Linked DNA regions of Macaca mulatta. The protein of the gene in region 3 purifies or fractionates together with the protein of the main gene of each other region. This does not show direct contact. Links are inferred from orthologs where the notes say so. Each region holds a gene or a part of one and is shown on either strand. Other genes may lie near its edges. The genes, in order: PPP6R1, PPP6R2, ANKRD52 and PPP6C.

Region 1 (7,797 bases), on a different chromosome or scaffold from region 3:
CCGACCCAGGCAGGCAATGGGTGTGTATTTTCCCCTGTGTCGAGAGTGACGAAGGCACCACCACCTCACAAGGAAATATAACTATGTCCTTTCCTTGCTCTGAGAACCTCTGTGTGCACAGCGGTAACTCCTCACCGCCACTTCTGCCCAGACGCTAGACCTCCTCAAGGGACCATCCCCTACTTCCCATCCCACTTGACAAGGAATGCGACGGGCCGACCACCGAGTGTCCACGTCACAGAAGAGAAAACTCAGGCTCAGCAAAGGTGACTCACCAGCGTGCTGACGGCAGCGGGGGCATGGATTTCCTGATCTGGGTGTACCTGGGACCAGAATAATCTCAAGGGGCAACCGCCACATTCATCATGACTGCCAATTTCCGGCCTAAGGCTGTGGCGAGCGAAGCACCGAGACGTGGCAAGCACACACACAGGGGCTCTTTCTCCGTGGGAGACCAGGCGGGCCGAAAGGCTGACCGCGCCACGCCAGCAAAGCCAGTCCCAAGGAGCGACACGCCACAGACTTCCACCTATGTGAAGCGTCCAGAACAGGCAAATCCATAGAGACAGAAAGGAGATTACAGGCTTTCAGGAGCTGGAGCGGATGGGGGAAAGTTCCTGAAAGGAAAGGGTGATTTAAAAAAAGTTCCAAAATCAATTATGGTGATGTTTCCCCAATGTTGTGAATATACTAAGAACCACTGAATTGTATACTTTATTTATTATTGTTTTTCTTGAGACAGAGTCTCGCTCTGTTGCCCAGGATAGAGTGCAATGGCGCCATCTGGGCTCACTGTAACCTTCAGTTCCCGGGTTCAAGCAATTCTCCTGCCTCAGCCTCCCGAGTAGTGGGGACTACAAGCACGCAACACGGTGCTTGGCTAATTTTTTTTTGGGACAGAGTCTTGCGCTGTCACCGAGGCTGGAGTGTAGTGGCACAATCTCGGCTCACTGCAACCTCCGCCTCCCGGGTTCAAGCAATTCTCCTGCCTCAGCCTCCTGAGTACCTGGGATTACAGGTATGCGCCACCATGCACAGCTAATTTTTTTTTTTGTATTTTTTTTTTTTTTCAGTAAAGATGGGGTTTCACCATGTTGGCCAGGCTGGTCTTGAATGCCTGACCTCAAGTGATCCGCCTGCCTCGGCCTCCCAAAGTGCTAGGCTTATAGGCGTGAGCCACCACTCCTGGCTGTGCACTCTAAATGGATGAACTGTATGGAATACCTCAATAAAAACTGTTGGGAAAAAAAAAAAAAAACCTGCCTCAGGCCATCGGCCATGGCAGGGCCAGAGCCCGGGCCAGGCTCAGGCCTTGTACTATGCCCCAGCGTCCACAGAGCTGACGAGATGCCGGCCAGCCTGGCAGAGCTGAAGCTGCCAAGGCTCCGCCCTGGGGCACTCACGCAGGTTACCCCTTCCCCATCCCTCACCACCAACAGCCCTAAGCTAGGTGAGCCCCTCCACCATGGGGGCAGGACAGGAGCAGCACCAAACCCACATCTGTAGAAAATCCATGGACCCACACTTGCAGACACTTGTCTCAGCTCCACAACAAGACCAAGTGAAGGGCCAGGCGCGGTGGCTCAAGCCTGTAGTCCCAGCACTTTGGGAGGCCGAGACGGGCGGATCACGAGGTCAGGAGATCGAGACCATCCTGGCTAACACGGTGAAACCCCGTCTCTACTAAAAAAATACAAAAAACTAGCCGGGCGCGGTGGCAGGCGCCTGTAGTCCCAACTGCTCGGGAGGCTGAGGCAGGAGAATGGCGTAAACCCGGGAGGCGGAGCTTGCAGTGAGCTGAGATCCGGCCACTGCACTCCAGCCTGGGCGGTAGAGCGAGACTCCGTCTCAAAAAAAAAAAAAAAAAAAAAAAAGACCAAGTGAAGAATTCTTATTATTCCGAAAGTTTCATGTTGAAAAGGGGCCCAGAGCGGCGGAGCTACATGGCTAGCAAGAGGCTTCCAGGATGCCCTAGTCTCTAAACAAGAGGCAGAAATTCTCATACTGAGGCCCACCGTTCACTTCTAAGATACCTGATTAAAGGGCACAGGCCATAGCCCTCGGCCCCCAAACCCCCTACCCCTGCTACAGACTAACCCTCTGCTTCGGGGATAGTTAAGCATCACGCTTCCCCTCCAAACCCAGCTCCCCAGAGAACTGGGGCAGGGGCTGCCAGAACGAGACAGGAGGGTGCTTGCTGGTGCGTGGCATCCGAGACCCTTGGCCCCGAGAACCCAGACAGTCCCTTGAACTCTCCCCCTCAAGTGGCTCCTCTGAAAACCAGAGTAGACTGAAAGGCTCAAACGCAATCGGGTGGTCGACACTACAAACTTCAATTCTCAGGCTCTAAACAGAATGAAGATGCAAATACGGAAGAACAGAAAAAAAGAGAAAAAAAAAAAACTTTCTTCCACCACAAACTCTGAATTCTTCCACCACAAACTCTGAATGCACTATGGCCTCAAGCCCTCTCAGTCCCCTCTCCCAACTTAATGAAGCCTGCTAGAACCCCTGGGAATGGGGCAGGAGAGGTGGGTTTCACGCTCACTCTAACTAGGTGAACCTGGGCAGACACTTGACTTCTCTGAGTCTCATTTCCTTGTCCGTGAAAACGAGACACAGCCCACCAGGGCGGGCTGCCGTGGAAAGGCACAGAGCTAAAGCAAGTGGCCCTGACACAGCAGGAGCTTGGCAGGTGCAAGTCCCTTTCGGTCCAACCCTGAGGCCACGTCCAGACGCTTCCTGGCAGGACAGGTAGGGACCGTCACGACCCCAAAGGTGATGGTGCTAAACAGAGGAGCAGGAGACAGACTCTACCCATTTGCCTAAGTGACTCAAGCACTTTTCCTCAGACCATTCGGATACTACTGCAGGCGCCGTGCACCCCGCCACCCCCATTCTTTGCAACTTTTAGCAACTTCAAGAAAGCGGAAGTGACTACCACTAGTTTTTAGCTACCGTTTGAAAACCAAGAGTCTGGCTGCAAACGGAAGAAGGGGAAATTGTAAATGAGAAAGGAAGCCATTAAAAACGAAAACTACCTCTGCCATTCTCCCTCCACCAGCTCTGCACTATTGCCTCTGGTTTCTTATTTTGCTGTGGTGTTCTAGGGCCTTCAACACCAGTCACCCCTCAAGGGCCTAACAGCCCCTTCCTTCCCCTGCTTGGACAGGCACTAACGGCGGCTCCCACAAAGCCATCCCCACTGCTGCAGGCATCCGTCCAAACACAGCTCTGCCGCCAGGGGACTGACGGGCCCACGCTTCATCTGTCACCCCTCCTCAACCCGCGCTGACCCATGAGCACCCAGAAATGGAGGCCAGGGCACAAAGGCCCCGGGGGCCTCCAGAGACAGCCGCCTGAGCTGCCCCCATGCTCAGCGGAAGCTCCAACGCCTGGCCCCCTGGCCAGTACCCCAGGAAGAGAAACAGCCTGCTACCAGCAGCAGGTTGGCCAGCACCCAGCTCCTTAAAGGGCCCAGAGTCCCAAGGACAGCAAGACCATCTCCCTCTAATATCTCCCAAGCCTCCGTCAGCTCTCAGCCAAATCTGAAAGGGGTTTGGGAACACCCAATTCCAGGGACGCAGCGACAGTAATGGCCACCCCACCATCTCTGAGCAGGACCTATGGGGTGTGCCAGCTGCAGAACCCAGCACCACCCACTCAGCAAGCAGGAATCAGGGACACCAATTTGGTAGAAGGGAACCTGTCCAAGACCCAACAAGATGATGAGCGAGGGCTTTCCTGTGGCTTGGGAAAGCCTTGGGGAGGGTCCCCACTTAAAGAGGACCCTCAGTGGCTCCCCCTCTGGCCCCAGAAACACACCCTGCCGAGGGAGCTGGTAGCCCTGGTCCAACCCCAGGGAATGGAATAACTGGGAAACAGAAGAGTCTAGAAACACTGGCCGAGGACTGGGACGGGGACTTGAACGCCCACATTCAGATCGTCTCCTGAACTGGCCACAGGTTTAAAGGAAAAAAAGGAAAAGATCAACAAACAGATTTTGAAATAGCTCTTTGGAAAAACAGAATGGGGCAGAGTTAGTGTTACAATGTGATCCGAAGTCAGAAAAGCGTGCATTCCCATTTTACCTCCCCAAACTGAAATATCTGTGGCCCAGACCAAGGATCTCACCCCACCGAGCCCCAGTTTCCTTATCCGGGAAATACCTGACAGATGGGGCTACTGTAAGGCAGCACCCTGTGGAGAAAGACCCACAAAACTGGCGTGCAAAGGAAAAACCACGGTTTGGCATGGAAAGGCGGGTGAGCCCCACCAAGCCGGGTGCCGAGTGATTCCTCCTCTGGGAAGGCCCCTCACTCTCACCAAAGCTCCCGGGTCTCTCTCACCTCATCTCTTGCTATCTCCCGCATGGGTGCCACACCTGACTGCCCTCGGCCCAGACTGGGCTACTCCCTCCTCCTTCCCTGAGCTCTTCGAGCCTGACTAGCTCCTCCTGGGTCCTTCAGGCCCCCACACAGACACCACTTCCTCCAGGGAGCCTCCCCACTGCATCTGTGTCAGGGGCCTGCTCCACACTGCTTCCACGGCATCCCACAGTCACCCGAGGACAGCACGTGAGCCTCGGCTCTGTGACAGGATGTACCTGTTCAGTCATCTGCCTCCCCTGAAACACGCTGACTTCCCAGGATCTAGCGTCAGGCCAGGCCCAACTAAAGCTACTTGTGAATTAATGAAAACTGAAGCCAGAGAAAGGTGTTCTGTTAAGATCACTGGGCCACACATCCCAGAAAAAAAAATGGGGAGGGTACCAGACAAGCAGGTTCTCCTCGAATGGAAAGAAACAGTAGATTAACCAACAAAAGCTAACGGCCACAAAGATGGTGGCAACTCGCAATACACAACTCACCAACACACAGCTCAGGAGTCACAACAGAGCAAATGAGCCACAACGACACACAGCATCCCGGCAGTGGAGCAAAGCTCTCCTCCTCTGCGCTGCCCACATTTGGGCTGGACAGTTCTTTTTGGTGCTGGGACTGCCTGTGCATTGGAGGACACTTAGCAACATCCCTGGCCTCCACCTCCACTCACCAGATACTGGCAGCACTCCCCCCAGTTGGAACAACCAAAAACATCTCCAGATATCGCCAACTGTCCCCAGCTGAGAACCACTGCAACAGACACTCCCAAATCAAATAACAATCGAAAGAACGGCCAGATATGGTGTCCCACACCTATAATCCCAGCTCTCTGGGAGGCTAGGCAGGAGGACTGCTTGAGCTCACGAGTTTGAAATCAGCCTGGGCACCATGGCAGGGCACCATAGCAAGACCCAGTCTTTACAAAAAATACAAACATTAGCTGGGCGTGTACAAAAAAATACAAAAATTGAGCAAGCATTGCAGCACGTGCCTGTAGTCGCAGCTACTCAGGAGGCTGAGGTGGGAAGATCACTTGAGTCCAGCAGTTCAAGGCTGCAGTGAGCAATGATTAGACCACTGCACTCCAGGTTGGGCAAAGGAGCAAAACTCAGTCTCAAAATCATCACCATCATCCAAAGAGCTACTGATTGCAGAGCACAATGTACCTTGCATTCTGCCCCAGGCTTCTACAAACCTTGCACTTAATCCCTAGAACTACCCTCTGAGGACAGCAGTCTGCTATCCCCACTTACAGATGAAGAACAACTTGTCCAAGGTCTCACCACTTGGAAAAGCAGAAGCCAGACTCGGCCTAGGTCTGTCTGACAAAAGGTCCTCTAACAATTAGCTGGACTGCCTTCTCATGATCCCAATCCCAGAACTAGAGTTAGGTGGTCTCATGTAACTTATGCAAAATGATACATGTTGGGCAAAAGTTAAAAAAAAAAAAAAAAAAAGCATAACATTTTAAACAGCACAAGCAGCTCCAACAGCCATTCCACCACTAGTAAGCACACGTGGCCGGGTGCCGTGAGCATTTCCACGTGTGTTGTGCATGGATGTAAACCAAGTCCTCATCACGGGTTACTCAGGCAATCTCCAGTCCTTGCTGCATTTGCAGGGCACGGTGATGGTTAGATCCTCGCCCTTGGGCTGGATGAAATCCCACTGCAGTTTCTCTACAACTGTGAACCCAGTACCGCGCCTGACAGTCTACGCAGCTGCCTTTACTGAAACATCTTGCTTTTCAGGCGGATGTTTATGGTCATGTCTGTGTGTACAAAGAGCGAGCAAGAAAGACCCCAACCAGAGGTCCCATTCAAGGCCCGGACAAGCACCCCGGGCCGAGCTACTCTGCCCCTCACCCTCCCAACACATCTTCACTCAGGACTCCGACCTTCCTTCCTTGACATATCTGCACGTGCTGCTCCTTCCCCCCCCCCCGGAAGGCCCTTCTTCCCACTCTCCATCTGTCACCTCCTACTCATCCTTCCTAGACAGAAAAAGCCATCCATCCAGCCAGTCTCACCAGTGCCTTGCGCTCTGTGGCCCCCTGCAGCTCCCTAAGTTACCTCCATCACAACACACAGGAATTGTGACTGTCCGGTTCTGCCTTTGTCCCCCCCCCCCCTCCAGGGACCGGCCCCACCTCCAGGGCAGGGCCTAGGACTGATGACCCCTCCTCGGAGCCCAGCGCCAGGCGCCCTGCCTGCCCTCAGCAGGCTTCATCTCACTGAAGCAGGCCGGAGTGGTGGCTGCTCCAGAGAAGCCCCGCTCCCAGGTCCCTCGCACAAGAAACCGGAGGCGGGAGAGGGTCGGTCAAGGTGAAGACAAGCCCCGCTCCCCCAGTCCTGAGCTCCGGGGTGACAGGCAACGGATCTAAGGAGGCTGCGCCGCGGAAGAGGCGGCGGGGCAGAGATTGGGGCGAGAGAGATGGGTGTAAGCGGGCAAAGTCCAGGGTAACCAGGAGGAAAGACTCCTGGGGAGCCGGGGGACCGGCCAGAGAGGCAAGAGAGCGGAGCTGAGGCTCAGGGACTGGGGAGCGCAGCTGCAAAGAGAGCGGGTGGGAAAAGCCCGAGGGCAAGAAACTGAGAGGTGGGTGGCGGGGGAGCTGAGGAGAGATTAAGAGACTGGAGAGGGTCGAGGGGGAAGAAACGGGGGCCCGTGGAGAGGGAACCCGAAGGAAGGAGGATCCCAAGCAGAAAAGACCGGCGGGGGTCCGGAGAGGGGAAGACGTGGGGGCCTGGTCCTGGAGAGGCAGGGTCGGGCGACACGGGCCGCTCACCTGCGAGGGGGGGCGGCGGCTCCTCGCACTCGGGGCTCATCGGGGCGCCCCCCCCGCCCCGCCGCCGGCGGCTCCGGCCCCTGCTGCGGGGCCCGGTAAGTAGGGGCGGGGGCGGCGTCGGGGACTTGCGCAGGCGCCGGGGCTCGCGGGGTCCGCGCAGGCGCCCGCGGGTCGTGGGGTCCTCGCGCGCCGGGTCCTGCAGAGTTGAGGGGGTCAGAGCCGGGTGGGGTTGCCGGCGGGCTGGGGGTGTCACGAGTCCGCGTAGGCGCCTCCGGGGTCCGCAGGCGAGGTGGGCGCGCCGACCAAGGCGGGTTGCGGGCGAGCCCGGTCGCGAGGCCCGCGCAGGCGCCTCAGCCGGGAAGACGGGGGAAGTTGCCTCGGTTTCCACACTCCAACCCAGCGCCCCGCGGGAGGGGAAGACGTCCTCCTCCGCGGTCCAAACGGGCCGCAGAGCCGAGCAGCGACCGACGGACGCCGAGGCCTACTTCCTTAACCGCCCCTTCCCCAAAGCCGCTCAGTCTCCGGGCTCTGCGGCCCGCCTCAGGGCCTCCGACGCCCGGCTCCCTCCGCCACTATCCCACAATCCCCCTAGCGCAGGACGACGCAGGAGGCCCCGCCCTCCCGCGG
Region 2 (7,104 bases), on a different chromosome or scaffold from region 3:
GCATGCAGGCTGAGGCCCTTCACAACCACGGAGCCAGGAGGGACTGGGATGTACCACCAGGCGACAGGCACCTCGTCCCCTCCTAGAGGAATCCAGTCCAAGGACTTCCCCACTGTTGCCTGGACCTACTGGGAGCTCAGGCCCCAGGGCCTTTGCACAGCTGTACCCTTGCCGGGTGCACCCTCGTCCCCCCGTCAAGCCCAGTCCTACCCTCCCCCTTAGGTTTACCTGGCCCTGGCATCTACCCCATCTGTCCTGCCCTCCTGCTAATCTCCCACCCCCTGACCCCAGAGGCCAGAGAGGTATCTGTTCACTGAAGAATGCCAGGGACCTTCTTCCTGTGGAGGGATGGATGGGGTTCAGCTTGCTGGAGGGGCCGGCCAGACGCCAGCCTCCTCACAGGGAGTGCCTCCCTCTCCACTCTCTCCCCAGGAATGGCTCTTGGGGGCTCAAGGGAGCCTGGGCCTCTGCCCACCTGCAAGCTGCCTCCAACTCTCAGGGTCTGGACCCCCCAAATGCAGTCCTGAGGCCCCCGCCCCCATTCTACTGTCCTGCTTCTGAGGCGTCTGGGAATCACAGGCCTCCCGTGGAAGGGGAGCAGCGGGCGAGGTCTGTGTGAGCTCCACAGATGCCCGCTCGCCTGCCGGACTTAAATTCTGTGCCCCTCCCTGACCACCAGGGTACCCAGATCCCAGGCGGCTCAGCCAGGCCCAGAGCCCCAAGAGCTGGGCTGTTCTCTCCAACCGGGATCTGGGGTAGGGGCTGCTCCCCCACGTCCCTGGAGGACTGTCTGGGACACCCAGGCCCTGTCTTCTTGTCTTAACCACTCACAACGGAGAACACAGATGTTCTGTCCAAGAAACGAGCCCCACCCTCCTCCCATCTGGCTCCACTTAATGTGCAGCATCACCCTGAGCATCACCCCCCGAGCCAGCCTCTGAGGGTCACAGGCACCACCACCCCGAGCCAGCCTCTGAGGGCCACAGGGCCATGGGGGAAGCAGTGTGGGGAAGACCTCTGGCCTGGCCTCGGCCTGCTCTGCGGGGAGCTGAGACCTGGAGACGGCCTGGAAGCCGCACCCTTTGCACTTGGGCAGGCCCGCCCCGCTCCCCACGCCCCACACACCTGCCGACAGCCTCCTCTGTCCTGGCCCCTGTGGGCCGCGGGGGGGCCTCCCGGCCAGGACTCCTGCTCACGGCATCCACGGCACTCGCTGCCTTCTGGTAGTCCTCGCTGTCGGAGCCCCCAGAGGAGCTGCTGTCAGAGGCCAGCAGGGGGGCCTTCCTGGTGACACATACGTTCCAGGCACATGGAGAAGCTGGGCTGACTGCAAAGGAGGAGGCCTGTGCTGTCCAGTGAGGCAGGAGGGGCCACAGGGCACGGCCACCCTGGCCATAGGGCCCCCATACATGTGGCCTCTCACATGCACCTGTTGCCTGCACACGTGTGCCTGTGTGAGAGCCGCATGATGAGGCAGACACGCTCACGCACCTGCCATGGGGTCTCCACACAAGCAACCCTGTTGCCTCCCCCATGATACAGGGCAACACGCCTTGGTCTCACAGGAAGACACAGGCTCAGGGAGGGGCCCGCTCCGCCTCATATGGTCCTGCCACAGCTCCTTCAAGCACCTGGGACACCAGTGTTGGCAGCCAGCTGTCACTCTCCTGGAGCTCTCAGCCTTATCTGGGGCAGCTTCTGAGCCTGACTAGGGGGCTGGGGGCCAGGGGCTCTGATCAGGCCCCAGAACGGCTTCCTGCCAGCACCCCACCCACATACATCTCAATACTGGGGTCCCGGGGCTGCTCGCCGGAACCTGGGGTGCAGGCCTGGGCTGTGCCACCTACTCAGACCGGACTCAGGGCCAGCCCGATGGCCTTGCTGCCTCCCCCTGGGGGCCTCCCCATCTGCACGTGGCTGCTCCAGTCCCACTGCTGTATCAAACCCCAACGTCACCAGAGGCCCAGCAGCATGCGGGGCCCTGGCCACCACCTCCCACTGCCCCCAAGGAGGGCGGCCAGCTGGCCTCAGGCCTTAAACTGGGCAAGGCTGGGCCTCTGCAGGAGCCTGGGTGCTGCCTGCACTACTCCTACTCACAGGCTTTCTCAGGGCCTTGGCTCCGGCTGCCCTCAGCCCGGCTGCGTTCTGTGTCCACTGGAGAGCTGCACCTGGGCCCTGACTCGGAGCTGCAGGCAAGCACGAGGACAGGGTCAGTCCCGGGGGACGGGCGCCTCCTGACCCTGACGGGCACTTCCTGGCACGGCCCCCTCCTGCCAGCGCATTTGTTACCAGCAGAAGGGCTGGAAGTCGGTGAACTTGGCCCAGCCTTTCTCCTCTGGAGCTGAGGTGCCAGCTGCCCACACGCTGGCACCCACGTCCCTCACCACTCCTGGGGCTGTGGGTGTCGAGTTCACTGGCTCATCAAACACTGCCGTCCACATGGCGCCTGCTGGGGGAGACACGGGTCAGGTGTGGGCAGGCCTGCCTAGGGTGCTGCAGGCAAAGGGAAGGCAGCACCCCCACCCCAGGGGCCCCACAGAGGTTGACAGGAACATGGAGCTGATCCAGGAGGGAGGGCTGGGCAGTGCGCATCAGCCCCTCAGAGAGCAACGGGGCAGCTTGAGGGTCCTGACAAGCTGCCAACACCCATGGGGCATGTGACCCGAGGCTCAGGGAGGCGCCTGAGGGGCCCCAGGCCTCCAGCAGGGCTGAACTGACCGTGGAGGTGACACCACTGCCCTGCCCTAGCCAGGAACGCAACCGACAGAGACGGCAGCTCACCGAGCACCACTGGCCCCTCCCTGGCCTCGAGGATGGGGTGCCTCCCTCCTATCTGGGATGTTCGTGCTTCCCCAGGATGTCACCCTTGCTCCGTCAGCCTCAGCTAAGAGCTCAGCACCTCCTAACAGAGATTCCTGTCCCCCCGCAAAGTCCTGAGTGCCGCACAGATTCCTGTCCCCCCCGCCCACAGTCCTGAGTGCCGCACAGATTCCGGTCCCCCCTGCCCACAGTCCTGAGTGCCGCACAGATTCCTGTCCCCCCCGCCCACAGTCCTGAGTGCCGCACAGATTCCTGTCCCCCCCGCCCACAGTCCTGAGTGCCGCACAGATTCCTGTCCCCCCCGCCCACAGTCCTGAGTGCCGCACAGATTCCGGTCCCCCCCGCCCACAGTCCTGAGTGCCTCAGTGCTGCCTCCAGGGCAGGGGTAAGGAGAGGGGTCTTATCAGCCATGCGGCCTGTGAGGTGGACCAGCTCCTGCCACAGACGTAGGCTGTGAGGGTGGCGGCCGGCCTGAGCTGCTGTGCTGGGGAGGGCGTCAGGCCCGTGCCCAATTTTGTGGGGGCCGGGTGGACGATGAAGACTAGGTGGACACCACCCACCAGCCTTGGCAACGTGGCTGAGTGACCACAATCAAGAGGCAGGGCCAGGAGACCACCTTGTGCCGGGCACAGGGCAGCACAGACCCCTACTCAGGATGGCTGGGAAAGAGCTGGGGATGCAGGCTCCGGGCCACAGTGAGCCCCAAATGAAGCTTCCACAACACCCAGGCCAGGGTACCATGTCCTGTCCCCAACACCCACAGCCCCGGCCCCCAGCGCCACCTTCTGAGTCACCCTCCACAGTGGGGGCTTCCTTCTTCCCAGGGGCCAGGGGGGCACCTGCCCCAGGTGCATCTCCGTGTGCTTCTGAGCTCGCCTTCCCGTCCTGGCCTCCGCGCTCTGGGCCATTCTTTGAGCAGCTGTCTGAAGCATGGGGGGCTCCAAACCTGGGGGAGACTCAGAGTCAGATGCCTGGTGGCCCAGGATGGACGCCTAACGTTGAGGGTTAGTGACGGCCCCAAGCTCGGGGCTGAGAGTGAGCACAGATCATCTCGAGAGAGGAGCAGGAGTGGCTCTAGGCCTCAGCTCCGGGCTCCTCAGGGTCACCCGCTGCGTTGGGCCCCAGAACTTGCAGGACAGGTGAGCCTGCTCTGCGAGTCAGAGTTAACAAGCAGCAGGGCGTCGGGGCGTCTGACAGGTGTTCTGGTGGCTGCACCTCCTCGGCAGAGGCTCTGGGGGATGGGCGGGCCCCGCACCTGGCTCTGGCCATCACCCGGGTGGCACAGCGAGTGTCACTGTCCTCCCAGATGTCCTCGTCCTCATCGTCATCAAAGGGCTGGATGCGGTCGCTGCAGCAGGCCTCAAACAGAGCTGCGCTGGGCTGCCGAGTAAAACGCCAAGGTCAGTTTCCAGAGGGTCTGGGGGAGACAGGAGGTGCTCTCCCCAAAGGGCTCCCAGAGGGGCTTAGTTCAGGATGTGGGAGCCCCGGGCTGGAGGGCAGGATGGGGAGGGGCAAGGAAAGCGACTGTTCCGAGCTCCACAGAGGGGCCTCCACCAGCCCCACCACACAGGCCCACGGCAGACCGAGCCATGGGCGCGGCCTGAGCTGCCTGGGAAAAGGGTGCCCGCACGCCACACAGCCCCGCACGCCACACAGCCCCGCACAGTGCCACACAGCCCCGCTGGCTCACACTGTCCTCGTCAGCGTCGATGTTGAAGTTAATCTCTGCAATCCTGTCAAACGGGGCACTGCAAGAGCAAGGAGGGTGGTCTCAGCGCTCCTGCCCCCTCACTGCTCATCTGGGGCCGCAGTTCTTCTCCCCTGGTGCTCACTAGGGACATCAGGCCGCACTCCTGGCAAGGCCTCAGGGAGCTGCCCCCGTGGGACCCCAGCATCAAGGACGGGCGTCCAAGCAGACTCACTTGATGTTGTCGTCCTGGTCTGCAAACTCCTCATCATTGAAGCCAAACTGATCCACGAAGCTGGCTGCCATCTGCTGGATCTGGTAGTCAGAGAAGGCCTGGGAGGGAGGGAGGCAGGGACACCAGTCATGGAGCAGCCTCAGGCCTGGAGGCTGTTCTTTGGAACCACAGGCTCTCTAGTTGTTCAGGAGCTTCTCCTCCAGCAAAAGCCGGCAGTAAACTCTGACCGTTCAGGGCTCACGATTCTACCGAAACTCAGGCTGCGCGCCCGCTGCGGTCACATCTGAGATACGCCCCATATTCTGACTTTGGAGTCCATCTGCTGTGTTCTCAGCGCTCTCATCAAGGTGGAGTGACTTTGGGGTTCTCCCCTCAGACCCACCCCGCCCCATACGTGCTCGGAGACGAGCCCCCTCTCCCCTTTGCTAGTGAGATGCCATCAGACTCGTCTGGAGGACCAAGCGCAGCGCACACAGGTGCCGGCCACGCCCTCACCTGCTGAAGGGACAGCTCGTTAGGGAAAGCACCCTCAATGTCCTCGTCCTCACTCGAGGAGTGAAGGTGGTGAGTGCTCACCTAAAACACAGGCCAGATGGGGTGGGCGTGTGAGCCAGCCCAGCGCCCCAGATCCCACCCAGCCCAGCGCCCAGGACCCTGCCCAGCCCAGGGCTCCCAGACCCCGCCCAGCACGTCACTCGTCAGATCTCTGGGCCCCAGAGGCCGTGTTGTGTAAGGTGCCCAGGTGAGGCCAAGGCCCCGTGACAGCCCAACCTCCATGTGCAGGGGGCAGGTTGTGGGTCTCAGGCAAAAGGAGCCCTCTGCCAATAAGCTACAGCTCCTGGAGTGGGAGGGAAGGGAACTGAGGCCAACACCGGCTCTGCACAGAGGTCCTCAGAGACCCAGCCCTGGTGTGGCACAGGACAGGGTCTCTGTTATGGACACCAGCCCAGAGGACACACTGCACACTTGCGGGCTACGCAGGGGCGCCGCGTGCAACAGGAGCAGGCAGGTGTGCGGCCCTTGTGCCTCCCTTGGCCTCTGCCTCAGGGCAAAGGCAGGAGCGTCGGACGGCGTCCCAGCACCGTGCACATGCCGAGGGGGCAGCCTCGAGCCTCCTCACCAGGTCCACAGTGTTCCTGCGGTTCGTCTCCGTCAGTGTCTCCTCCACGAAGCTCTCCCAGCGGCCACGGCAATCCGCAGGGAGCCCTGCAAGGGAAGTGCTGCCTGGTGAGCCCTGGGAGACCCCGTGCAGATGGCGCAAGGCACCCAGGAGCTACAGCAGGTGCATCGTGGGTCCAGGAGGATGGGGCGCTGCTACCGCGGTCAGTCCGTCTGAGGGCCTGAAGCACGGGCTTTGCTGGATGGGAAGGAGGCAGCACAGCCGCGTGTCTGGAGGGACCTGGGGCCACACTGAGATTGAGGTGCAGCAACTGTGGGCAGGGTGGTGGGTACATCTGCTCCTACCGAGACCCCAATGGGCATCCGAGTTCCAAGTCTGTTGGTGCGGAAGCCCACGGTGAGGAACTCCCAGAAATGAGAAGCCGCGGAACAGAATCTAAGAAAGCAGCCAGCCTCCTCCTCCCGGCCCCACGCCGGCCTCCTCCTCCCCGCCCCACGCCGGCCTCCTCCTCCCGGCCCCACGCCGGCCTCCTCCTCCCCGCCCCACGCCGGCCTCCTCCTCCCGGCCCCACGCCGGCCTCCTCCTCCCCGCCCCACGCCGGCCTCCTCCTCCCGGCCCCACGCCGGCCTCCTCCTCCCGGCCTCACAGGCCCAAACTCAGCAGCAGCCCACAGGCCGAGGCACGTGTCCTGTCTGTTTTTCCGGGGAGGTCAGAGCCCTGGAAGGACTCACATCTGGAGATCGTGTGGGATGACCCAAGGGCTTCCTGCTTGCCCCTCGCCTCCCTAAACTGCCTCTGCCCCGGGGAGCCGTCCCTGGCCTCGACCTCTACCCATGTGCTTTGCCCTCCAGGATGTGGGGAAGCTCCTCCTGCCCTTTTATTATTTATGACGGCAGCCGGTGGGCCTGACCTCGCCAGGGCCTAATGGAGCCCAACCCAGGAGACCCCTCACTATGGTCCTGGGGTGCAGGGAGGACTATCCAGAGCTTCTTCACCTTACACAGGTATAGGGAGGAGGGGCCACAGCTGGGCCCGCCTCTGCCACACATGTGCTGTGCCTGTGCCCATCTAACCCACTGTGTTTTTTTTTTTTTTTTTTTTTTTTTTTGAGACGGAGTCTCGCTTTGTCGCCCAGGCTGGAGTGCAGTGGCCGGATCTCAGCTCACTGCAAGCTCCGCCTCCCGGGTTTACGCCATTCTCCTGCCTCAGCCTCCCGAGTAGCTGGGACTACAGGCGCCCACC
Region 3 (7,769 bases):
GGGTCAAGGAGGGACCAAGTAAGACCTCTTCTTTGACCCACCACTACCCTAGAGTCAGGGAAGGAGGTTCTCCAAGGTGCCCTTTGGCAAGCTTCTCTGTGACTCCATGGTTGATGTGAGCAGTCTATGCAGATCTGGGCAGCCCAGAAGTGGAGTCAGGGCCCTGACTCACCGGGCGGTATCTGCGCCATTGGTCATGAGGGTGCTGATGAGCAGCTCGTGTCCGTAGCGAGCAGCCACATGCAGTGGCGTGTTCCCAAATTTGTCGGCACAATCAATCTCACTGCCTGTGAGGGGATACACACACACAAGCTCAGGTGGACCTCAGGCTTAAGACCACTCTCGTGAGCTAGCCACGATTTGAGTGCCTACTATGCATCAGGTGCCAGGCCCAGGATTCTACATGTTTTATCCTGTTTCTAGGCCTTAGGAGACTGGGCAGGGCAGAGCAGGGCCATTTCCACAAGTCCCTTGGTCAGAGTTCCAAGGGCCTATCCTACTGGAAGAGGGTAGGAGACGGAAGTTAGGGAGATTCTAGAAATGAGTTCCTTGGGGGAGGAAGGGATGAGAGCACAAAGTCTCCCAGGTCCATACCATTCTGGATGAGGATCTGGGAGCGTGTGAAACGGCCATGGATTGCAGCCATGTGCAGAGGACTTTTCCCTTCTTTGCTCTGTGGAAACATGGTGGGTTTTTGTTTTTGTTTTTTTCCAGTGCAAAGCACAGAGAATGCCCTATCTCCTTCCAAGGACATATCTCTAAGGACAAAAGGGTCATATGGCACCTTCTTAGCCCACTCTCTCCTGAGTCCCTGGCAAGGTCTGATTACCCCAGGAAGCAAGTGGATAATTCCACGAGAGTTATCCAGATACAGTCAGGACCCCTAGAGCCAGGTTTCGCTCCCCACTGGTCTAAGCCTTATCCCTTCAGGCACCTGGTAGTTGACGTCAGCCCCATTATTAACCAATAGCTCCAAGCAGAGAGCGCCATTGGTGGACACTGCAGCCACATGCAGTGGTGTGAAGCCCTTGTCATTCGGCTGGTTGACATTGGCTCCGGCATTCACCAGCTCAATAGCCACAGCATCCTGGCCCAGGTAGCAGGCGATGTGCAAAGCTGTGTTTCCAAAAGCGTTGGGCTCATCGATCTGGATATTCAGCAGTGAGAGTAAGGCGGTATCAGTTTAAACAAAGTAGAAGCCAGCACATGTAGCCTACAGATCCCAGAAATCCAATGACTGCCTCAGTTCCTCTGGGGTTTCTGACCCAAGGTACTAAGGTACTCAGGGTACTATGGCTAAGGTAAGCATTATTCAGACCCTCTCTACCACGCCCTTCCAACCTCCCAAAACTACACCAACAACCCAATATCTCATATCTCCATAACAGACTCTATAATCTCCTACTCACTGACCATAGTCCCCAACCCCAGAGCTCAAAGCCCTGACCTCCGCTCCCATCCGAAGCAGGTACTTCACCACTTCAATCTGGCCACTGGCAGCAGCTGTATGGAGCAGCCCATAGCCCTTGCGGTCCTTGCAGCCGAGGTCTGCTCCCCGTGCCACCAGCAGTTTCAGGACCTCCAAGTGCCCTGAGAAAAGAGAAGACACTCTAAAGGAAGTAGAAGATAAACTCTAAGGCCCGGCACTCCTCTCTTCAAAGGCTGCAACCCCATATCCCTGCTCTAGGAATCCTAAATGTTAAATTTCTGATTTTCCCGTGTATTCTCTCTCACCTAGAAAAGCTGCCCAGTGTAGAGGCTGCCGCTCCTTTTTGTCACAGACATTCAGGCTGGCTCCCTTGTTGAGGAGCAGGTTCACCGTCTGTATCAGGATATGAAAGACACTTGTTCAGAGTCAGATTCGTGCCCTCAACCTACCTAAGAGCAGAGGCCTCATCTGAAAAGGCTGAGGCAGCCTAATGCCTTTTTCCATGAGCAAAACAACCTGGAGGACTTGAGGGAACAGCAGAAGCAGGCACTAAGGAGGAGATACTGGAGAGATCTGGAACTTTGAGGGAAACAAGGGAGTCTCTTCAGGTGATTTGGTGGTTCTTAAACTCTTGTCTTTGCAAATGTGCTGAAAGACACGTACTCTCTTCAGAAAGGCGTGTAAGCAAAAATTTTGCTTAGATATTTTCTAAGCAAAATCCAAGGTTTTATCAACCTCCTGAAGTCCAAGTTAAGAATTTTAATCTAGTCTGACCATTCATTTAGCGCTTGAGTTTTAGTGTTTATATAACCATCTGGGCTGCTTATCCTTCAGGCTTGAAGGCCCAGAAGCAGGGAAAGGTGAGTAGGAAGGTAAGAAAAGGGAAAGCCCCAGCTGGGCCTGGATGGGAACAGTCCTCACCTCAAGATGCCCACTATGCACTGCATGGTGCAGAGCACTGCGCCCGCTCCTGTCAGCCACGTTGAGGCTGCTCAACAGGGGTGCCAGAGCCTCAGCACACTTGGTGGCCCGGTTGGCAGCAGCCACATGCAGTGGTGTCTGCCACAGCTTGTCCCGGGCATTCACATCTGCTGAATGTGCCAGCAGCAGCCCCAGCACCTTCTGTTGAGGGGCAGGGGACAAAAGAGAGAGTAGGAGCGGGAGGTAAAACAACAGGAAATAGAAGGAGGAATAGGTCAGCAGAGCATCTACCGCCCCATCTTCCCCAGCACAGAGTCTCTTCTCATTTTTCCAACATCCCTAGCCTCTCAATACCTACTTCCCATCTTCTGGATCTTCTTAGAACTTGAGCTCTTCCTTACCTTGCTGAGTAAAACAAGGACCCTTTGCTCTTCTTCAAGCCACCTGACTCGCCAACTTAGACCATGAAAATCTTCACTCACACATACATCCATTCCCAAACAAATCTACACATGGAGATCCACACATCCCAACCCCCCACCACTTCTAGGAAAACTAAATGCTCTTGCTGCACCTTGCCCTGAACACCCTCTTTAGCCTTCTCATAGGCACCAAAATTATTTTCAGTATCTCAGTAAGCAAACAGATACCGGTTCCTTTGCAAAACCCGAGCTAACATGCCCCTCCTAACCACCACCTACCTCATTCCCACTGGCCTCGGCCCCTCCCCCGGTAGCTGGAGCCAGGGAAGTGATGAACTGAGGAGGAGGTCCCCCTTTCCCTGTCTGCAGGGCTGATGGGAATAGGGCAAAGGACCCAACTGATGAAATACGTTTGGCCCCTGTGCTGTCAACTTTCAAGCTACTTGAGGGCCAAGGATGCAACAGATTACTATACCCATCCCCCATCACAAGGAAAGAAATCTCAGTGCCCAGAGGGGGATCAGACTTAAGGTGGCCCCCCAGGGAGGGATGAGTCACTCAGGCCTGGCAGCAGGGCCCCCGCAGTCTGCCAGCCCAGTGTTAAGCTCTCCCTGAGTCACATCAGCTGGCAGCACTCAGCCCCCTTACCAGCCAGTTCTAGGGGTAGGAGGGAGGGGCCAAGATTTGATCTCCTCACTACTTGGGGTAGAACAGCTTGTAGGGCTGAGGACTGAGGCTCCTTGACCCTTAACTTCCACCTTTAAGCAACTCATCCTTTTTGAAAGGGTAAAAGAAGGTGGGGGCGCATACCTCGTTTCGGGAGGCAGCAGCACGATGAAGAGGGGTCAGCCACAGTGTGTCCTTAGCATTGACATTAGCACCTGTGGGGATATAATTTCCTATTTTGATGGAAGGTGAGGAGGGGGTATGAAGGAAGCCAGTAATCAGGCCAGGAAATCTGAATGGAGCTGGAGCCTTGCCTGGACCAAGCCCGGGAGAGCAATCCTTGAATATCAAAAAAGACTCCTCCCCTCCCTTCCCTCCCTATGTGCCACACCTTCCAGCTCCCCACTTTCACCTGACATCAGTAGCAACTGGAGGATGGGGACATCGCCTACGTAGGCAGCAGCATGCAATGGAGTTCGCCTCTCTTGGTCCTAAGAAGGCAAAAAAGAGGAGGGACTGTGGGCGCGGGGTGAGGGGGCTATCAAGCACCCCAGCCCAAGCCTCAGAGCTCCAGGCCCTTCCCCACAACCTCTTCCCATAGTTTCTGCAGGGTCCTAAGTCCCAGTACTGGGAGTCAAAGGCAAGCACCTAGGGAGGGTGGAGTCAGGGCCAATGGGCTGAGAAGCCGGCTCCTTTTTCCAGGAGGGGTGGGGGCGCTGCAGACTCCGGAGGTTCAGAAGAGAACAACGTTCCTGGGCATCCCCAGCCCAAGTGATCTGGGCTGTAAGCCTGACCTGCTCTCCATCCCCAAATGCAGAGTAGGCTTTCACTCCAGGATGGAAAGAACTGCGGCCTCATCTGAGCAGAGGAGACACGGAGCCGCCCCACCGGTGGGGAGGGGTCCAGAACACGGGAGCCAGGATTCCGGTCTCGCCATCCTCCCTGCTCCCAACTCACCAGCACATTGATGTTCTCCTTCTGCGAGAGTAGGGAACGCACTTCCTCCACATCTCGGCTAAAGATGGCCTGGACCAGGGGCGGCTGCAGGGAGAACCGGCAATCTGAGAGCGGGCTGGAGCCGGAGCGGAACCGGTGTGGGGGTGGGGGTGGGGGAGCACCCAGGTTTGGGGGGGGGGGGCGTCCGTGGAGGGGCTCCACTCTGGGGATTCTGGCTGGAGCGGGCTCCCGCGGTGCCTCCTCCGGTTGCCAGGTCCCCAAGGACACCGGCTTGGTTGAGGGGAGCGCGGCATGGGGCGGGGCGGGAGCTGCGGGAGCCCCGGGCTCGGGCCCAGCCTAGGCCGCACATCCCCGGGCTCGCGTGGCGGTAGCGCGGAGCCCTGGAAGGAGGAAGCGGGGAAGGGCAGGAGGGCTGACCTGGTCCGTGATGCTGAGGATCCCCATGGCCCGGCCCGGGCTCCGTCCGCATCGAGCTCCCGGCGGCGGCGGCGGTGGCTCCACCGGGGACACGGAGCGGCCCAGGCGGCGGCTGCGGCGGCGGCTGCAGGGAGAGCGCGGCCCCGCCTACCGGGGGGCGGGCGAGCGGGAGGCCGCAGCGCTCCCTGGCGGCCGTCCGAGTCCCGGCGCTCCCAGAGCAAACGGACCCCAGCCGCAGCGCCCTCCGCCCCACCCTGGCGGCCCCTGCAGCCCCTGCACCCCCGAACTCACGCGCCGGCTCCCCGGCTCCCGCAGCTGGCTGCGCCAGTCTGGCGGCCCAAGGGGTTCCTCACAAGATCCTAGCGGAAACCTGGGCCTTGGTCCCGCGGTGCTTCCCAAACTGAGGACCGAACGGCGGGCCAGATCTCACCCAGCCCACAATGCTCCCGCCCGAGCTAACTCCTCCCGTCAGTGATTCCACACCCCGAAATCCCCCACAGACTAGGGGGAACTGGCGGGTGGAGAACTGGGAATTATGTATGGCAATATCCCCAGAGGGAGGGAAAGCGTGTATCTCCACTGGCGGATGCGTGAGTTCGGTAGAGAAGAAATAGCAAAAGTGCTCAAAATGCGGAGAAACCCCAAGGAGGATTCTACTGCAGAAAACACCCACAAAGAGGCCATGACAACTGGCAACTGGAAAAGGCCGCCAAGACCAAGAGAAGGGACATTTTCCAGCTCCTTACTGATTCCATTGCAAGGTTAAAGTGGAAAACACTCTACAATTTCTTCCCAGAACAGCATGTGGCGCTTCCCCTCCTCCAATGGAGAGGCCAGAAAGCCGTCAGTTAGAGAAGAAATGAATGGAAGTCATCTCAACCCAGAATTGGAAAAAGGAGGAAGACGAAAAGTGAGTTGAAAAATTGATACAATTTCTGAAAGGTGATCCAGGGTCCTGTTCAGAGTTTCACAACTCAATACACATTGAAGAGAACACATAATGGACGAAGTGCAGCATGCTGGCGTCTTGTCAAGGCTTTATATATAAAGGTCCTCCCTTGCGGGGAGAGGAAAAAAATTTAAAAATAAAAATATATTTTATTTTATTTTGTTTTTTGAGACGGAGTTTCACTCTCGTTGCCCGGGCTGAAGTGCAGTGGCATGATCTCGGCTCACTGCAACATCCGCCTCCCGGGTTCAAGTGATTATCCTGTCTCAGCCTTCCCAGTAGCTGAGACTACAGGCGCCCACCACCCTGCCTGGCTAATTTTTGTTTTTGTTTTTGTTTTTGTTTTTTTTGAGACGGAGTCTGGCTCTGTCGCCCAGGCTGGAGTGCAATGGCCGGATCTCAGCTCACTGCAAGCTCCGCCTCCCGGGTTTAAGCCATTCTCCTGCCTCAGCCTCCGGAGTAGCTGGGACTACAGGCGCCCACCACCTCGCCCGGCTAGTTTTTTTTTTTTTTTTTTTTTTTTTTTTTTGTATTTTTTAGTAGAGACGGGGTTTCACCGTGTTAGCCAGGATGGTCTCGATCTCCTGACCTCGTGATCCGCCCGTCTCGGCCTCCCAAAGCGCTGGGATTACAGGCTTGAGCTACCGCGCCCGGCCATAATTTTTTTATTTTAGTAGAGACGGGAGTTTCACCATGTTGGTCAGACTGGTCTCGAACTCCTGACCTCAGGTGATCCACCTGCCTTGGCCTCCCAAAGAGCTGGGATTACGGGCGTGAGCCACCGCACCCTGCGAAAATACATTTTTAAAAAGCCTTCCTGGCCGGGCGCGGTGGCTCACGCCTGTAATTCCAACACTTTGGGAGGCCGAGGCGGGCGGATCACGAGGTCAAGAGATCGAAACCATCCTGGCCAACATGATGACACCCCGCCTCTACTAAAAATACATAAAATTAGCCGGGCATGGTGGCGGGCGCCTGTAATCCCGGCTACTTGGGAGGCTGAGGCAGGAGAATTGCTTGAACCCGGGAGGCGGAGGTTGCAGTGAGCGGAGGTTGCAGTGAGCCGAGATGTGCCATTGCACTCCAGCCTGGGCAAAAAGAGCAAAACTCTGTCAAAAAAAAAAAAAAAAAAAAAAAAAAAGCCTTCCGGTCAACATGGTGAAACCCCATCTCTACCAAAAATATAAAAAATTAGCCTGGTGTGGTGGTGCACACCTGTAATCCCAGCTACTGGAGAGGTTGAGGCAGGAGAACCCACTGCTCTCCAGCCTGGGTGACAGAGGCAGACTCTGTCTCAACAACAACAAAAAAAGCCTTCCCTTGCCTTCCTACTAGAAAGATACTTAAGACACTAGTAACAGTCCTTTTTTCCTTGAAAGAAAAACTGGGGTACAGGAAATAAGGAATGAGAGGGAAATTTACCTATCACTATATACCTTTTAGAATTTTTAAATTTTTTACCATATTGAAAATAAAAGTTAAAATATTGCTTAGGAGCAATCACTCCGTGATTCCATGCACACACAAAAATTACAAAGAAATAAAATGTTGCTTTAAACTTACCTCTTCTAGGAAGTCTCCCCTGGTTAATAGGCTCTTTTCCTTTTGTTCTCCTTAACACTTACATACTTAGTTTATACTGCCACAATCTGGTTAAATTGTACACCTTTGTTTCTCATTTTACCTTTTTTTTTTTTTTTTTTTTGAGATGGAGTCTTGCTCTGTCGTCCAGGCGGGAGTGCAGTGGCACCATCTCAGCTCACTGCATGCTCCACCTCCGGGGTTCACGCCATTCTCCTGCCTCAGCCTCCCAAGTAGCTGGGACTACAGGTGTCCGCCACCATGCCAGGCTAATTTTTTGTATTTTTAGTAGAGACAGGGTTTCCCCGTGTTAGCCAGGATGGTCTCGATCTCCTAACCTCGTGATCCGCTCACCTCAGCCTCCCAAAGTGCTGGGATTACAGGTGTGAGCCACTGCACCCGGTCTCATTTTCACCTTTTTTTTTTT
Region 4 (7,104 bases), on a different chromosome or scaffold from region 3:
CACACAACCTGAAGCAAATGTTTTTACAGTTATGTTAATATTAGGTAATTCTGGTAAACAGATAAATTTATTTAAGGAGACCATTCTAGCAGGATAATCAGATCAAACAAATTAGAGGACCCTTAGTTATAGGAACATGAGCAATTCCTAACTCTTCTCAGGGCCAAGTTGTCTCTTCTGAGATTTTCTGCAAATTGTCCAACTAAACACTTGAGCTTCAGTGGATCACAACTGAGGACAGACTGCCAGTCAGGTTCTTACAAATTCCCAGTTGAACACTCTTCCTGCTGCCTCCATAGCTTTTTGTTTTTGAGATAAGGTCTCACTCTGTCGCCCAAGTCGGAATACAGTGGCGCAATCAGCAGTGGCAAGATCACAGCTCACTGTAACCTCAACCACTTGGGCTCAAGCGATCCTACCACCTCAGCCTTCCGAATAGCTGGAACTACAGGCATGTGCCACCACACCTGACTAATCTTATTTCTGGTAGAAATGGGGGTCCCCCTATGTTGTCCAGGCTGGTCTTGAACTCTTGAGCTCAAGCAATCCTCCTACCTCAGCCTCCCACAGTGCTGAGATTACAGGTGTGAGCCACTATACCCTGACTGTCTACATAGTTAATAGGGTACACACTTCTTCTGTTAACACCATGGAAGCTCTGCACTTTGACTTCTTCCATAATTTTAGAAAAAAAAAAACCTGACATACCATTATTGCCTTAAGTGAAGCTGAAAATGATATAGGAAAGAAGTCTGCAGGTTATGACCACTCCCCAAGATTTTCTCAATTATATATCTATGTGAAGCAAGATTGTTATGTAAACTTGGCATAAGAGAGCCCTAACAATGAGCTCAGGTTGCAGGCAGGGATCTTGAGCTTGGCTCTATAGTAACTGCCCAGCATGTGTTTTTTGTTTTTTTGTTTTTTTGTTTTTTTTTGAGACGGAGTCTCGCTCTGTCGCCCAGGCTGGAGTGCAGTGGCGCGATCTCGGCTCACTGCAAGCTCCGCCTCCCGGGTTCACGCCATTCTCCTGCCTCAGCCTCCCGAGTAGCTGGGACTACAGGCGCCCACAACCGCGCCCGGCTAATTTTTTGTATTTTTAGTAGAGACGGGGTTTCACCGTGGTCTCGATCTCCTGACCTTGTGATCCGCCCGCCTCGGCCTCCCAAAGTGCTGGGATTACAGGCGTGAGCCACCGCGCCCGGCCCCAGCATGTGTTGAACTGAAGGCCCAGTGTAAAGTTATATAGGGATATCTTATTCCTTTAAAATCAATGTAAGTCTTATAATAACTAAAATTATCTTATTCCCGAGGAGCTGTTAAGCTTCATTTTATTAAACAAAACCATACAACACCACTACAAGAACAGAGCTCTGGGAACAAGAAAGTTCAATACTAGATTTTGTGTTGCTGTCATTTTCCTCAGTCAAGGCACCTTGATTAAAATGTCCTCCTTCCTCACCCCATTTTTTTCCCCTTTAGCCCTACATTGATGAAAACTGGGCGAATTCTGGAGTATAACTGTATATATAAAAACAGTCACATATAAAAAACATATGTCATATATTAGTCATATATAACAATATGCGTTTTATATATTATGCATGTAGCATTAGTTACATATATATAGTAGGTGTGTGTGTTTTGATAACATTAGTTTTAGTATCTTCACTGAGCTAATATCATAGTATGGTATCTAAAATATTGATCCAAAAGTTGTATTTCAATTGGTGTTTGTTTTGTAAACGAAAATAAGAAGTAACTTGTAGAAAGGAGACAAATAGGCCGGGCGCGGTGGCTCAAGCCTGTAATCCCAGCACTTTGGAAGGCCGAGATGGGCGGATCACGAGGTCAGGAGATCGAGACCAGCCTGGCTAACACAGTGAAACCCCGTCTCTACTAAAAAATACAAAAAACTAGCCGGGCGAGGTGGCGGGCGCCTGTAGTCCCAGCTACTCGGGAGGCCGAGGCAGGAGAATGGCATAAATCCGGGAGGCGGAGCTTGCAGTGAGCCAAGATCGGGCCACTGCACTCCAGCCTGGGCGACAGAGCGAGACTCCGCCTCAAAAAAAAAAAAAAGAAAAAAGAAAGGAGACAAATATTATCTAACTTTACAAGTATTTAAAAAATTATATAAAAACAATTATCAAAATTTCTCTAATTGATAATGGCAGACAAACTGAAGAGTAAGAGAGTTCAGAGTATCTTTGTTTTCTTTTGTTTTGAGACAGAGTCTCGCTCTGTCACCCAGGCTGGAGTGCAATGGCACAATCTCAGCTCACTGCAACCTCCACCTCCCAGGTTCAAGTGATTCTCCTGCCTCAGCCTCCCGAGTAGCTGGGACTACAGGCAAGCGCCACCATGCCCAGCTAATTTTTGTATTTTTTGTAGAGACGCGGTTTCACCATGTTAGACAGGATGGTCTCAATCTCCTGACATCATGATCTGCCTGCCTCGGCCTCCTAAAGTGCTGGGATTACAGGCATGAGCCAACACGCCCAGCCCAGCCTATCTTTATAATGACAGAAGATAATTCAAAATATAAAATTTAAAACTAAAGGGTTCTGCAATTAATGTTTCCAAATCTCTCAATATCTGCCTTAATTGTGCTCAAGGAAAATCCAAATTCATAATCTTGATAATTATATTTCCTTCAAGGGGGTTCCTAATAAGCGCTCTCTCTCTCTCTCTCTGTAACTTTCAACCAAATAAAAGTTTTAGAGAAGTAGCTATTTTGCTTTTTTTTCTTTCTTGAGACATAGTCTCGCTCAGTTGCCCAGACTGGAGTGCAATGGCGCAATCTTGGCTCACTGCAACCTCCACCTCCTGGGTTCAATCAATTCTCCCTGCCTCAGCCTCCCAAGTAGCTGGGATTACAGGCCCCCACCACCATGCCCGGCTAACTTTTGTATTTTCAGTAGAGACGGGGTTTAGTTGGTCAGACTGGTCTCAAACTCCTGACCTCAGGTGATCCACCCGCCTCGGCCTCCCAAAGTGCTGGGATTACAGGGGTGAGCCACTGCGCCTGGCCTATTTTGCTTTTTATGACTAAGTTCTGCTTCTGATCCCTGAGGTCCTAGCATTCTCTGGAGTGAGCATACAGAGATATATGTAAAAGGATGTGTAATAGCAGCTTAAAAACAACTCTAAAGTCTAATGATAGAGAAAAAACTGATACATCAATTATGGTACATCCATATGGTATATGATGCAGCTATAAACATGACAATAAAGTCAAAAAATCAGGTATGACCCCATTTTAGTGTGTGTTTGTACATATATAAACACACATAAATACACACACACACAAAATAGATGAGAATGGACTCTCCAATTTGTGCAGAACATTCACCTTCAGCAGATTCTAGATTCCCACTCCAAAATATTTTGATTAATAAATCTGTGGTGAGGCCCAGCAATCTACATTTTTGTTTTGTTTTGTTTTGTTTTTTTGAGACGGAGGCTCACTATGTCGCCAGGCTGGAGTGCTATGGCGTGATCTTGGCTCACCATAACCTCCGACTCCTTGGTTCAAGCGACTGTCCTGCCTCAGCCTCCCGAGTAACTGGGATTACATGCATGCACCACCACGCCCAGCTCATTTTTGTATTTTTAGAAGAGACGGGGTTTCACCATATTGGCCAGGATGGTCTCGATCTCCTGACCTTGTGATCCGCCTGCCTCAGCCTCCCAAAGTGCTGTGATTACAGGTGTGAGCCACCCCATCCAGCCCACAATCTACATTTTTAATGAGAACCCAGGTGATTCCAGCAAGATAAACTAAGGACTACACTTTGAGGCACAGATCTAGAAAGATGCACACCAAAAAGTTAACAGTAATCTCTCCAGCATAAGATTTTCAATTGTTGGGGAGGAGTGAAGGAGTGAGGATGTGGGGAAAATAATATACATAAAGCATGTGTATGACTTGTGTAGCTTTGTTTTCCAAAGAGGAAAGTAAAATAATATTCAGAATCAGAGAAATAGGAGTTCTTACCATAAAATCCATAGACCTGTGTTATCTGTCTACTCTCATGATTTCCTCGCAAAAGTGTAATACGATCAGGCCATTTAGCCTTTAATGCAAGAAGGTAAGTGAAGGTCTCCAAACTATAGTAACCTCTGTCTACAAAATCACCCTGTGAAGTAAAAGTGTACAGTTACAAACAATACAATAGCCACAATATTCTTTTCAAATTACATCAAACTGCACAAACTCATGGTTCATAACTACAATAAAAAGTTACATACTGAAATATTTGGAAATTTGATTTTAACAAAAATTAAAATAGAAGTAAACAAACTGTTTCTATTAAATGTTTATAGAAACAAGATTTTGGACTCCAGGGAAACCTACAAGAATCTGCTGTGCCATTCTCTCAAGAACTTTCCCTGAAAAACCACCATTTTCTCGCTTTTTTTTTTTCCAGACAGAGTATCACTCTGTCACCCAGGCTGGAGTGCAGTTGCGCAATCTCGGCTCACTGCAACCTCCACCTCCTGGGTTCAAGTGATTCTCCTGCCTCAGCCTCCTGAGTAGCTGGGATTACAGGCGCACACCGACACCACACCTGGCTAATTTTTCTATTTTTAGCAGAGACAGGGGTTTCACCATGTTGGTCAGGCTGGTCTGAAACTCCTGACCTTGTGATCTGCCCACCTCGGCCTCCCAAAGTGCTGGGATTATAGGTGTGAGCCACCATACCTGGCAAAACCATTTTTTTCAATCCTCTATTACCTGCATTAGTTGATTTGGTCATCTGTTAACCAGTATTTTTTAAGTAATTTAATTTTTAAAAATTCAATTTTTTTTTTTTTTTTTAGAGATGGGGGTCTCACTATGTTGCCCAGGTTGGTCTAGAACTCCTGAGCCTAAACAATCATCCCACCTCAGCCTCCAAGTAGCTGGGACTACAGGTGTGCACCACCATGCCCAGATAAAATAATTTTCTATTTTAAGAAATCATTTTAACTGTATTGGAAGAGCTGCCTACTTGAAGAAAAAAAATTTTTTTGTAAAAACAAATACCATAATTATAACAGCATTCTAGGTTCAGTTTTGCATTTAACAACCATATATGATAATATACTATTTACACTTCCCATTAATATCTGACTTGGGCCAATATTACACCAATAGGAAAACAACTGAAAGAAAAGTGGCCAAGTGCGGTGGCTCATGTCTATAATCCCAGCACCTTGGGAGGCCGAGGCCAGCAGATTAGGAGGTCAAGAGATCCTGACCATCCTGGCCAACATGGTGAAACCCCGTCTCTAGTAAAAATACAAAAATTAGCTGGGCATGGTGGCACGCGCCTGTAATCCCAGCTACTCAGGAGGCTGAGGCAAGAGAATCACTTGAACCCGGAAGGCAGAGGTAGCAATAAGCTGATCACACCTGCACTCCAACCTGGCAACAGAGCGAGACTCCATTTCAAAAAAAAAAAAAAAAAAAAATAGGAAAGTGACCCAGAAACTTTCAGAAGGAAAGATAATGAGAGAAGGATCCAGAAAAAGTTCAACAGTAACACTACATTCCAAAAGAAAAGCAAACATCTACCTTAATAGCAAATGTGTAGGTATGTATATTCATCCATCCATAGATTAACAAGAGATAAAAATGAATGCTCGAAAAGTTTGAATAAATAATAGTCAATTGAAGATTTATGCCTTAAACCAGGGGTTCTGGGTTATTTTTATGCCCACTCATTACTGATAGCTATTACCCAACCCTATCTACAGTGGCTTACTAAGGCAATTAATTAGAGGACATAGTTAAATGTAGAAAAGTACACAATCACTTTGATATGGTTTGGCTGTGTCCCCACCCAAATCTCATCTTGAACTCCCATATGTTGTGGGAGGGACTCGGTGGGAAGTAATTGAACCATGGGGGCAAGTCTTTCCTGTGCTGTTCTCATGATAGTAAGTCTCGTGAGATCTGATGGTTTTAAAAACAAGAGTTCTCTGCACAGTCTCTCTCTCTCTCTTTGCCTGCTGCCATCCATGTAAGATGTGACTTGGTCCTGCCTGCCTTCTGCATGATTATGAGGCCTCTCCAGCCATGTGAAACTGTAAGTCCATTAAACCTCTTTCTTTTATACTTGCCCAGTCTCGGGTATGTCTTTATCAGCAGCATGAAAATGGACTAATACACACCTTTTCATATACTGAAATGGGGACTGTCACATGGCAAAAAATTATTATGCAATTTACATTTAATAAGTCAGATCCTTTCCATGTTAAACAAGCACTTGATATCAGTGGTGTTTACATACCATAAATATGTAGTTTGTGTCAGGAACCTGACCTCCAGTTCTGAACAGTTCACAAAGGTCATAAAACTATAAAAGAAATGCAATATATGCTGATTACAAATTCCTGTTAAGAAGCAAAACAACAAAACTGAGAGTGAAATGTGTAAAGAAGCAGTTAAGAGGACTCCAAATATTTACATTTTTAAGAAATAAAGTGTAAGCCAAACTGCCAAGCACACAGTTCTCACGACTAAAAAAAGCACCAAATAAAGCTCAGTTACCATAAAACCACTACTAGATCATTATCATAGGCTCCCTTTCTCATTTTCTTTCATACATCTCCCCATCTATCTCTTGAGAATTCTGACATCCTTTACAAATTGTCCAATTTCTCAGTAAGCTAATCTAACAGCCAACCCAAATTCTGTATCTATTTCAATGAGACAAGAGATTAAGGAAACAAGTGGATATCTCTTTTTCTTCCAAACTGAACTTACATGACACTTCACAGTGTCATACAGAGATATTCCCATATTCTACAGTTAAGAGTCATGTACCCTCAGGCTCCACAGCCATGGAGTCTCTTCTCAATGATCAGTTAAAAAAAAAATTACATATTTCATCATTTTTTGTTTCTTTTTTAAGACAGGGTCTGGCTCTGTTACCCAGGCGGGAATGGAGTGATGCAATCATAACTCACTGCAGCCTCAAACTCCTGGGTTCAAGTGATCCTCCTACCTTGCCCTCCTCAATAGCTAGGACCACAGTTACACACCACCATGCCCAGCAATTTTTATAGAGACAGGGCCTCCCTTTTTTGCCCAAGCTAGTCTCAAACTACTGGCTT

Evidence for each region.
Region 1: the proteins of ANKRD52 (region 3) and PPP6R1 purify together in Homo sapiens (co-immunoprecipitation; 3 studies listed by BioGRID and IntAct, with this or other methods). This does not show direct contact. The link is inferred for Macaca mulatta from reciprocal best matches to the Homo sapiens genes ANKRD52 and PPP6R1.
Region 2: the proteins of ANKRD52 (region 3) and PPP6R2 purify together in Homo sapiens (affinity purification with mass spectrometry; 3 studies listed by BioGRID and IntAct, counting the BioPlex papers as one, with this or other methods). This does not show direct contact. The link is inferred for Macaca mulatta from reciprocal best matches to the Homo sapiens genes ANKRD52 and PPP6R2.
Region 4: the proteins of ANKRD52 (region 3) and PPP6C purify together in Homo sapiens (affinity purification with mass spectrometry; 6 studies listed by BioGRID and IntAct, with this or other methods). This does not show direct contact. The link is inferred for Macaca mulatta from reciprocal best matches to the Homo sapiens genes ANKRD52 and PPP6C.

Annotation. Positions count from the first base shown.
Region 1 is NC_133424.1:67,582,603-67,590,399, forward strand, and holds the start of PPP6R1 (serine/threonine-protein phosphatase 6 regulatory subunit 1), read right to left. Parts: upstream 4,588-7,797; 5' UTR 4,374-4,587; coding exon 4,350-4,373; intron 3,391-4,349; exon of another isoform or gene 3,051-3,390; coding exon of another isoform or gene 3,042-3,050; intron 1-3,041. UniProt on the Homo sapiens protein: Regulatory subunit of protein phosphatase 6 (PP6). May function as a scaffolding PP6 subunit. Involved in the PP6-mediated dephosphorylation of NFKBIE opposing its degradation in response to TNF-alpha.
Region 2 is NC_133415.1:1,014,918-1,022,021, forward strand, and holds part of PPP6R2 (serine/threonine-protein phosphatase 6 regulatory subunit 2), read right to left. Parts: intron 5,949-7,104; coding exon 5,863-5,948; intron 5,319-5,862; coding exon 5,238-5,318; intron 4,841-5,237; coding exon 4,743-4,840; intron 4,569-4,742; coding exon 4,511-4,568; intron 4,201-4,510; coding exon 4,076-4,200; intron 3,767-4,075; coding exon 3,603-3,766; intron 2,450-3,602; coding exon 2,290-2,449; intron 2,187-2,289; coding exon 2,098-2,186; intron 1,328-2,097; coding exon 1,126-1,327; intron 1-1,125. UniProt on the Homo sapiens protein: Regulatory subunit of protein phosphatase 6 (PP6). May function as a scaffolding PP6 subunit. Involved in the PP6-mediated dephosphorylation of NFKBIE opposing its degradation in response to TNF-alpha.
Region 3 is NC_133416.1:63,418,357-63,426,125, forward strand, and holds the start of ANKRD52 (serine/threonine-protein phosphatase 6 regulatory ankyrin repeat subunit C), read right to left. Parts: upstream 4,840-7,769; coding exon 4,813-4,839; coding exon of another isoform or gene 4,687-4,812; exon of another isoform or gene 4,480-4,686; coding exon 4,396-4,479; exon of another isoform or gene 4,087-4,395; intron 3,930-4,086; coding exon 3,851-3,929; intron 3,654-3,850; coding exon 3,583-3,653; intron 2,552-3,582; coding exon 2,351-2,551; intron 1,823-2,350; coding exon 1,735-1,822; intron 1,591-1,734; coding exon 1,448-1,590; intron 1,148-1,447; coding exon 935-1,147; intron 674-934; coding exon 595-673; intron 288-594; coding exon 173-287; intron 1-172. Other genes in the region: uncharacterized protein LOC144332932, read left to right, coding at 4,687-5,175. UniProt on the Homo sapiens protein: Putative regulatory subunit of protein phosphatase 6 (PP6) that may be involved in the recognition of phosphoprotein substrates.
Region 4 is NC_133420.1:22,609,599-22,616,702, reverse strand, and holds part of PPP6C (serine/threonine-protein phosphatase 6 catalytic subunit), read right to left. Parts: intron 6,345-7,104; coding exon 6,279-6,344; intron 4,140-6,278; coding exon 3,998-4,139; intron 1-3,997.